Nothobranchius furzeri: one gene and its partner. The protein of the gene in region 1 purifies or fractionates together with the protein of each later gene. This does not show direct contact. Links are inferred from orthologs where the notes say so. Each region holds a gene or a part of one and is shown on either strand. Other genes may lie near its edges. The genes, in order: abce1 and lto1.

Region 1 (3,765 bases):
CGGTTTTTTATTGTGGCCGGGTGGAATGTGGTAACAAGCAAGTACGGGGGGCGGTTGTGTCATCCGTCTCACTTTTGATTTGCCAGTGATAGACTGCGAGGGTAACTTTAACCATGCGGAGACAAAGAGGAGGCGAAAATTTGATATCAAGTTCAAAGAGAACGTGCTGATTATGCTGCAGAACACTGGGGAGCAATAGGGGTTGTATGAGCTAGTCACTAGTCGACTTCACCGCTCTAAAGTGACTTTTTATGCCTGTCATCGACTAGTCGCTGTCACGCGATAATGACCGGCAAGATGCAGTCCACGGAAAAGACAGCAGCCTGCTGTCAGCAGGTGACAAGCTCCTGCGCGTCGGGAAGCAAAGCGCTGTGCCAGAGCGTCGGTACTGACACCCGCCGTAAAACGGACATTTAACCAAATTGTGACGTTTACCCTCTTGCAATTTAACCTTCCCCTCACCCCATCCTAACCTTAACCAGCTTGCGCATGCAAAGCTCTGATTGTTGATGCGCTCCAGACATCTGCATCCTGAGCACGGCCACAGTAACATTATCAAATCAGGTGTCGCCACCTCAAAAACTAATTTAACACGCGATCGTTCATGTCGGCTCATTTCATTTTATGTTTTCTGTCTTATTCATTTATTTGTGCCTGATGCGTTTCGCTGCTGTGGATCGGGGCGCATCACCTGGTTTGTCATCGGTGACGCACTGATCACTGATGTGGCCGGCAAGCAGCTCGCACTCCGCTGTTTTTGCGGTCGGTAGATCTTTTAGAACTGCAGTTCAAAGGTAACTCATAAGGTGAATATATATGAACCCAGGTAGCAGTTTCTCTTTAGGATTGAGAGGAGATGCAGGAAGATAATAAACAGGCAGGACAGAAAAATAGTCAAATAAAAACAAGTTAGTTTTTGTACCTGGTGGTTGCAACATACAGACACCATTGAAGGTAATCAGAAGTGAGGAACAGAAAATGAAATAATTATTTTAATGTTTAGAGCAGCAGGAACTCTGAGAGGCTGCAGGCGCATCAGTGAGTTTGCGGCCGCTGCGCAGGGGGAGGGGGGAGAGGGCTGAAGCAGAAACTACCGTTGTTAAAAGAAATGTGTTTAACTTTGAAAATGTGGGCGCAATTTTAATTGTCAAAAACTCCAGCGAACCATTAGTTCATTTTGCTCAAATAGAAATAGAGGCCTGCCTCTAATTCTGGTCCTCCTTCCAATAAAGGCTTGGAGCTTGATGAGCTTGAGTCAAAAACAGGCTCGGGCCTGTATTAGAGGATTTACGGTATTGAATACATTTGTTTACAGCACGATCAGACACTCATTTATATAGTTTATCAGCAAAAAAATATTGATTTGGAGTGACTTGCTCTTTAACTAGCTGTTAGCTCATCAGTCCTGAAGTACATAAATAGGAGGTTTAATAAAACCAGAGTTATTAGTCATCATTCCCTCGTCTCTTCCTGCTCAGTAGGTGTTCCCACCCATCATTCCTGCCCTCCATCATGGCGGATAAAAACACCAGGATCGCCATCGTCAACCACGATAAGTGCAAACCCAAAAAATGTCGTCAGGAGTGCAAGAAGAGCTGCCCGGTGGTCCGGATGGGTGAGTGTCTGAACAGCGTAGCGCTAACCCGGACACCAGGAGGTGTTTTACTCTGAAATGTGTTTGCAGGTAAACTGTGTATCGAGGTGACGCCTCAGAGTAAGATTGTGTGGATCTCGGAGTCTCTGTGTATAGGCTGTGGCATCTGCATCAAGGTACGCTCACACACGAGGAGAAACGTCCGGTCTGTGCAAGTCTGAGTTCGCTGATGGGTTTTTCTGCTGGTAGAAATGTCCGTTTGGAGCGTTGTCCATCGTCAACCTCCCCAGCAACCTGGAGAAAGAAACGACGCACAGATACTGCGCCAACTCCTTCAAACTGCACAGGTGCGCCGCTTTGTCTCTGGGGTGGATGAGTGCTCTCATGGGTCTGTGACGGTCAGCTGTCTGTTACAGGCTGCCTATTCCCAGACCCGGGGAGGTTCTGGGTCTGGTCGGGACCAACGGTATTGGGAAGTCCACAGCTCTGAAGATCCTGGCAGGAAAACAGAAACCCAACCTGGGAAAATACGACGTGAGTGTGGACCCTTCAGGGACGGGGATGGGTGGGACCGGGTTTCTGGTTCTGTTTGGTTCTGATAAACTTTCCTTATCAGGAAGTAAAAATGTGGTTTTGTTGCAGAATTGTTGAACGTTTTCACGAAGGATCGTTACATTTAAACATTTAGTTTTAGTAAAACTTTACGCGTATAAACATTTGAAATTTAAAGTCCATGAGTTCTTTATATCAGGTCATGCTGGTTTCAGAGCCACCTCACCTGTTAGTTTGTTTAACCGATAAAAGTTTTACGGTTGGATTTCTATCTGTGTGTGTCGCTTCCCAGAATCCTCCAGACTGGCAGGAGATCCTGACCTACTTCAGAGGGTCTGAGCTGCAGAACTACTTCACTAAGATCCTGGAGGACGACCTGAGGGCCATCGTCAAGCCTCAGTATGTGGATCAGATCCCCAAAACCGTGAAGGTGGGCGACCGCAGCAGGGCTCTTTCCTTCGATCCAAACATCTGCGTCAGTCTGAGTCGGGACCTGTTGTAATTACCGGTCTCTGCCTGCAGGGGTCAGTAGGGGCCATCCTGGGCAGGAAGGATGACACCGACACGCAGAACATCGTCTGCGACCAGCTTGGTACTAACCTAAGCACAGCTGCCACCTTTGGTGACCGACTCAGTAAGACAGTGAACTCTAAGCGTTGATGATGTTTGTGGTCAGATCTGACTCACCTGAGGGAGAGGAACGTGGAAGATCTGTCTGGAGGAGAGCTGCAGAGGTTCGCCTGCGCCGTCGTCTGTATCCAGAGGGCCGACATGTGAGTCTGGTGTTTTGCTGTGACCTCTGACCCGAGTCCACCTGCTGACAGCCGTGTTTTCTGTTCTAGTTTCATGTTTGACGAGCCGTCCAGTTACCTGGATGTTAAACAGCGATTGAAGGCCGCCATCACCATCCGCTCGCTCATCACTCCGGACAGGTGAGGCGTGTGTTGTTGTTGGCGTTGGTCCTCCTGGTCTCACCTGGTTTTACACGTGTGTGTGTGTTTTACAGGTACATCATTGTTGTGGAGCACGACCTGAGTGTGTTGGACTACCTGTCAGACTTCATCTGCTGCCTGTACGGTGTCCCGAGCGCCTACGGAGTGGTCACCATGCCCTTCAGCGTCCGAGAAGGTAGATTACAAACACAGAAATGGAACAAAGCAACGTTGCAAAATTTTCTTTTTCAGCAAATATTGATTCAAGTAATTAAAGAATGGAGCAGCTGTCACAAAGATCAGCAGCTGTAACAGGAGCTAGATCACAGGAGCTAGATCACAGGTCTCCATCCCAGAGCCACCATCCAGCATGTTCTAGTTGTTTCTCTGCTCCAACACACCAGATTTTATTCAGCAGGTGATTAAAATGCTTCTTTGGTGCTTGACGACCTGATGAACAGGAGATTAAAGCATTTATACAGGTGTGTTGGAGCAGAGAAACAGCTAAAACATGCTGGATAGTGGCCCTCAGGGATGGAGACCCATAGACTAGACACTTGCGTAGCACCACATTTTATTAAGGAGACGATATTTGTTCATGATGTTCCTTATGGACTTTTTAAACTCATTAGCTGCCAACCGTTTCCTGAACAGAAAGCCCCTGGCTGCCAGTGTTTTTGAGCATTT
Region 2 (3,819 bases), on another chromosome or scaffold:
TTCAGAGCGCGCATTCAGTGTCTGTGGGCGCATCTTGGAAGAGAGACGCACAGGATTGGGACCGCAGTTGGTCAGCCACATTCTCTTCCTTCACAGCAATATTCCAACCAAGTGATTAATCAGTAAATTAAATTTTTTGGTTTTTATAAGTTATCTTTGTTATCTATTAGTGTTATTTGAGCCACTCAATCTGTTGCTATTTGTTAATTAGGTGCCTGTGTTACTGTGCGGCATGCCTAAGTTTGAACGTTTTTATTTTATTTTTTCAAACAGAACACATGCAACATATGGCAAAAAACTTTAAATCTGCTGTTTTTCATGTTTATACGGTACTTGTTTTGCAAAGCGGTCTATTTTATGTACAATGTGATTGTGTTAATTTTTTATACACGTATAAAAACGAAGTTATTAAAAGTCACTGCGCTGTGTTGTCTATATGTCGCTTGTGTCAATATTTCTCATTCAGGTCTCTTAGAAAAGAGGCCTCGATCACTGCGTGATTACAGAGGAGAATAGAATATGAAACGGCCTTGATTTTCCTTTAAGCACCACACAGTTGCTCCTTTATTTATTTATTTTTTTAAAGAATTTTATAATTGAAGTAGTGAGGAGTTATTTGAAATCGCATGCGCCGAGGTGTCACCGGTGATCCTGGTGACACCTCGGCGTTAAATGGTTAATCCTGACCAAGACATGCAGGCCTGAGAAACGAAACAAGGAATCATGTGGTTTCCGTATCCAATAAAATGACATGTTTTCTCCAGAACCAGAGAGGACACAAACTCAATACATCTCTTTTATTGTGAGGTAATAATTTCTCCGGGTTTTGCGGTTGCGGACGGGAGTGGACATGCACACTGCGGGTGCAGGCGGGAGTGTAACATACACTTTGCGGTTGCGGGCGGGAGTGGACATGCACACTGCGGGTGCGGGCGGGAGTGTAACACACACATTGCGGTTGCGGGCGGTAATGGTCAGAAATTCAGCGGGAGCGGGCAGGAGCGGGATGAAGAAAACAGTCCCGCGTAGGGCTCTAGTCCAGGGTATGGGGAGGACACTGGGTACCCTCTTTTATGTCATTTCAGGGTTACAGACTGTTGGTTGAACAACTTGAAGCCCCCTTCAGACAGGCCATGAAAAACGGAAATGTTCAGGACTCTGTCCGTAAGACCTTTGTGTCTGAATACAAACATCCGGATAACGTTTTCCGTAATTAAACCGGACGATGCCCCTAGTAACAGGTCCGGACTTGTTACGGACAAGGTGGCTGCTTCAGACTGGTGAGGTCGAGTTCCGGACAGGGAGGAGGGGGAGGAGGAGGGGATCGGGGGACGCTGTGCGCTCATAGATAGCTCGCTCCTGTAGCATGCGGCAAACCATGGCAGCTCGCCTCCTACGGTACCGTCTAGACGAGCGACGGAGCGCATCACACTGCTTCCGTGATTCCTTTAACCATTGAGCGCCATCATCCAGGTCTTATGCGTCTTCGTGTGCGCAGAATTATGCTTAACATAAGTCCGATCCCCCCAGACATCTGGAACTTTTCCCTGCTGTGTGAAGGCAGCCGAAAGGACAAGTTCCAGTACAAAAGTGGTGTGTCTGAAGACACAGTTCTGGTTAAAAACCGGACTGAATTGTCCACACATATTCCGGAATGTCAATCTGAAAAGGGCTCGAGAGAGCAGACAAGGCCGTGAGAGCTTAAACATGAAGGCATTCTGCTGCTGACGGGACAACTGGTCATTAACAGTGATCAATAGAGAAAACATTTTGTATAGTACCCTCTTCTACAGCTAGTACATCTAACAATCTAAAAAAGGCAGGACGGCAGAATGAATACGTCATGGTTTTAGTAAAACGTACCTCGACCTTTCGTCGGTGTTGTGGTGTAGCAGACACTTCCATGTGATGGCAAAACCATGATAGAAGCTAATCTATGTGAGGAGAAGAGGCTGTTGTTCTTTGAGGGAGTTCATCAGGTCAAGATTCAAGCAAACACCAGATAGCCTGTACAGGCTCCTGCTCACCTCTGAGGAAAGCCTGGCTCCATGAGAGGTTCCATGTCTGCGGCCATCCTGCAGCCCCCGACGGGTTCCCCTCTCAAACCCGTCCCGAAAGCCCTCACCTCGGAACCTGTAACCGACACACTACAATCCAGTCGTGTCCAGAAAATGACTAGTGTTGGTGTTGTAAGGCTATCCCCAACCCTGGTCCTCGGGGCCCACTATCCAGCATGTCTTCCATGTCTCTACTTCAGCACACCTGATTTGCGTATATGCATCGCCTCCTCAGGAGGACATCAAGTGCTGCAGATACCTGTTAATCACTCATTCATTTGTCAGGCAGGTAGCAGCAAGGGAACACTGGTGTTTTAAAGAGCAAGTTGGATTTGGGCCAATAAATTATGTTAATTTGTCAGGTTGGGTCACACAGCGACATTTGCACACTCAAAAAGCGCGAGTGTCTCTGCTCACACTACAGAGAGGAGCGGAGGACGCACCTCTAAACATGCGTTATTATTTCTCCTCGAAGCGCTTCAAAAACTCAGCTTCAGTCTGGCTCAATCAGACTGAGTGGTGTGATGTCGGGAGATCTGGTGTTGGGAGGGGGTGAGTGACAGCGGCTGCAGCATCTAATCACCCGTTTCTTCTCTTTAGGGATGCAGAGAAGTTAATACAAGAGAGTGTCAAAGAGAAATAGAAAATAAAAGTTCTTGTTACACTTTATTATTTTTTTTCATGATGATAAATTAGATTCAATTTGAAGGAAAACTGGGAGGAAGTTCAGGTTTATTTTAAGTTAAATAAGATCTTGTTTCCTTTCTCCTCCTCCGGCGACACGATGGACACGAGGAAATAATAAAAGTCCCAAAGGGCAAGTTTGTAGTTAGCTAGTTAGTGAAGGAGATCCAAAAGGGTTAAAACGAAGGCAACTGGACTTCTTTGGTGTCTTGAAGTTGTTTTGCTTCTCATCTGAGGAGCTTTGTCAACTCTAAACTGGAAAATGGGAGAGTCAAGTTTATAAGCTGTAGCTGTCTGTTGATATTTAACGAGCAGAAACTACTCTGAGTACTAGGGCCCGACCGATATGCTTTTTTTGGGACCAATACTGATATAAAACTTTTAACAAAGGCCGATAGCCAATATAATGGCCAATATATCTCCCTCAAAAAAAAAGAAAGAAAAAATATCTTAAACCTTTCATTCTCTGCCTTTTTGATGCAAACTTATTCCTCTATTACACACCAAAGAACTGTCTCAATAACTCACGAGGGTTTCCAAGTAATGCAAATAAGATTTATTTAGCGGATCTCAACAACAACAGAACACACAAACTCAGTCACAGCATAAATCTAACATTCAAGTTTTTCTTGTAAACTGTGGTCTCCACAAATACATTTTAACTTAAAGGAATATTCCACCACTCAGTAAAATTGTGTCTTGTTAAGATTCCCCAGAGTTAGACAAGTCAGAAAAAGCATTTTATAACCAGCCCAATATGATCTGGCAGCAGTTGGTTTTCTTAGTTTAGCATAAAACAATGAATTCACATAGATTATAGTGTTTTTTATGTAGGCAAACAGGATAAACATATCCTTGACTGTTATAGCTAATGTGTTGTTGATATAATTTATCTATAGCGATAACAATGTTGACAACTCTGTTCTTCCTTCACAACCCACGTTCCACTCACTCGCCAGCTCTCTGGGCCCCTTGTTTTATTTTACCTTTTTCCAAATGTACTGACACTCTGTGTTCTGTTATTTTATTAAATCTTGTGTAAAAAATAAATTGTTTTTCTTTCTCAATTACTGGAATT

What was found.
Region 2: the proteins of abce1 (region 1) and lto1 purify together in Homo sapiens (affinity purification with mass spectrometry; 4 studies listed by BioGRID and IntAct, with this or other methods). This does not show direct contact. The link is inferred for Nothobranchius furzeri from reciprocal best matches to the Homo sapiens genes ABCE1 and LTO1.

The regions. Positions count from the first base shown.
Region 1 is NC_091742.1:88,857,741-88,861,505, reverse strand, and holds part of abce1 (ATP-binding cassette sub-family E member 1), read left to right. Parts: intron 1-1,478; exon of another isoform or gene 1,479-1,481; 5' UTR 1,482-1,512; coding exon 1,513-1,615; intron 1,616-1,684; coding exon 1,685-1,770; intron 1,771-1,843; coding exon 1,844-1,941; intron 1,942-2,010; coding exon 2,011-2,128; intron 2,129-2,438; coding exon 2,439-2,576; intron 2,577-2,668; coding exon 2,669-2,738; intron 2,739-2,822; coding exon 2,823-2,919; intron 2,920-2,988; coding exon 2,989-3,078; intron 3,079-3,152; coding exon 3,153-3,274; intron 3,275-3,765. UniProt on the Homo sapiens protein: Nucleoside-triphosphatase (NTPase) involved in ribosome recycling by mediating ribosome disassembly. Able to hydrolyze ATP, GTP, UTP and CTP. Splits ribosomes into free 60S subunits and tRNA- and mRNA-bound 40S subunits.
Region 2 is NC_091749.1:21,692,046-21,695,864, forward strand, and holds part of lto1 (protein LTO1 homolog), read right to left. Parts: intron 2,134-3,819; coding exon 2,028-2,133; intron 1,935-2,027; coding exon 1,864-1,934; intron 1-1,863. UniProt on the Homo sapiens protein: The complex LTO1:YAE1 functions as a target specific adapter that probably recruits apo-ABCE1 to the cytosolic iron-sulfur protein assembly (CIA) complex machinery. May be required for biogenesis of the large ribosomal subunit and initiation of translation.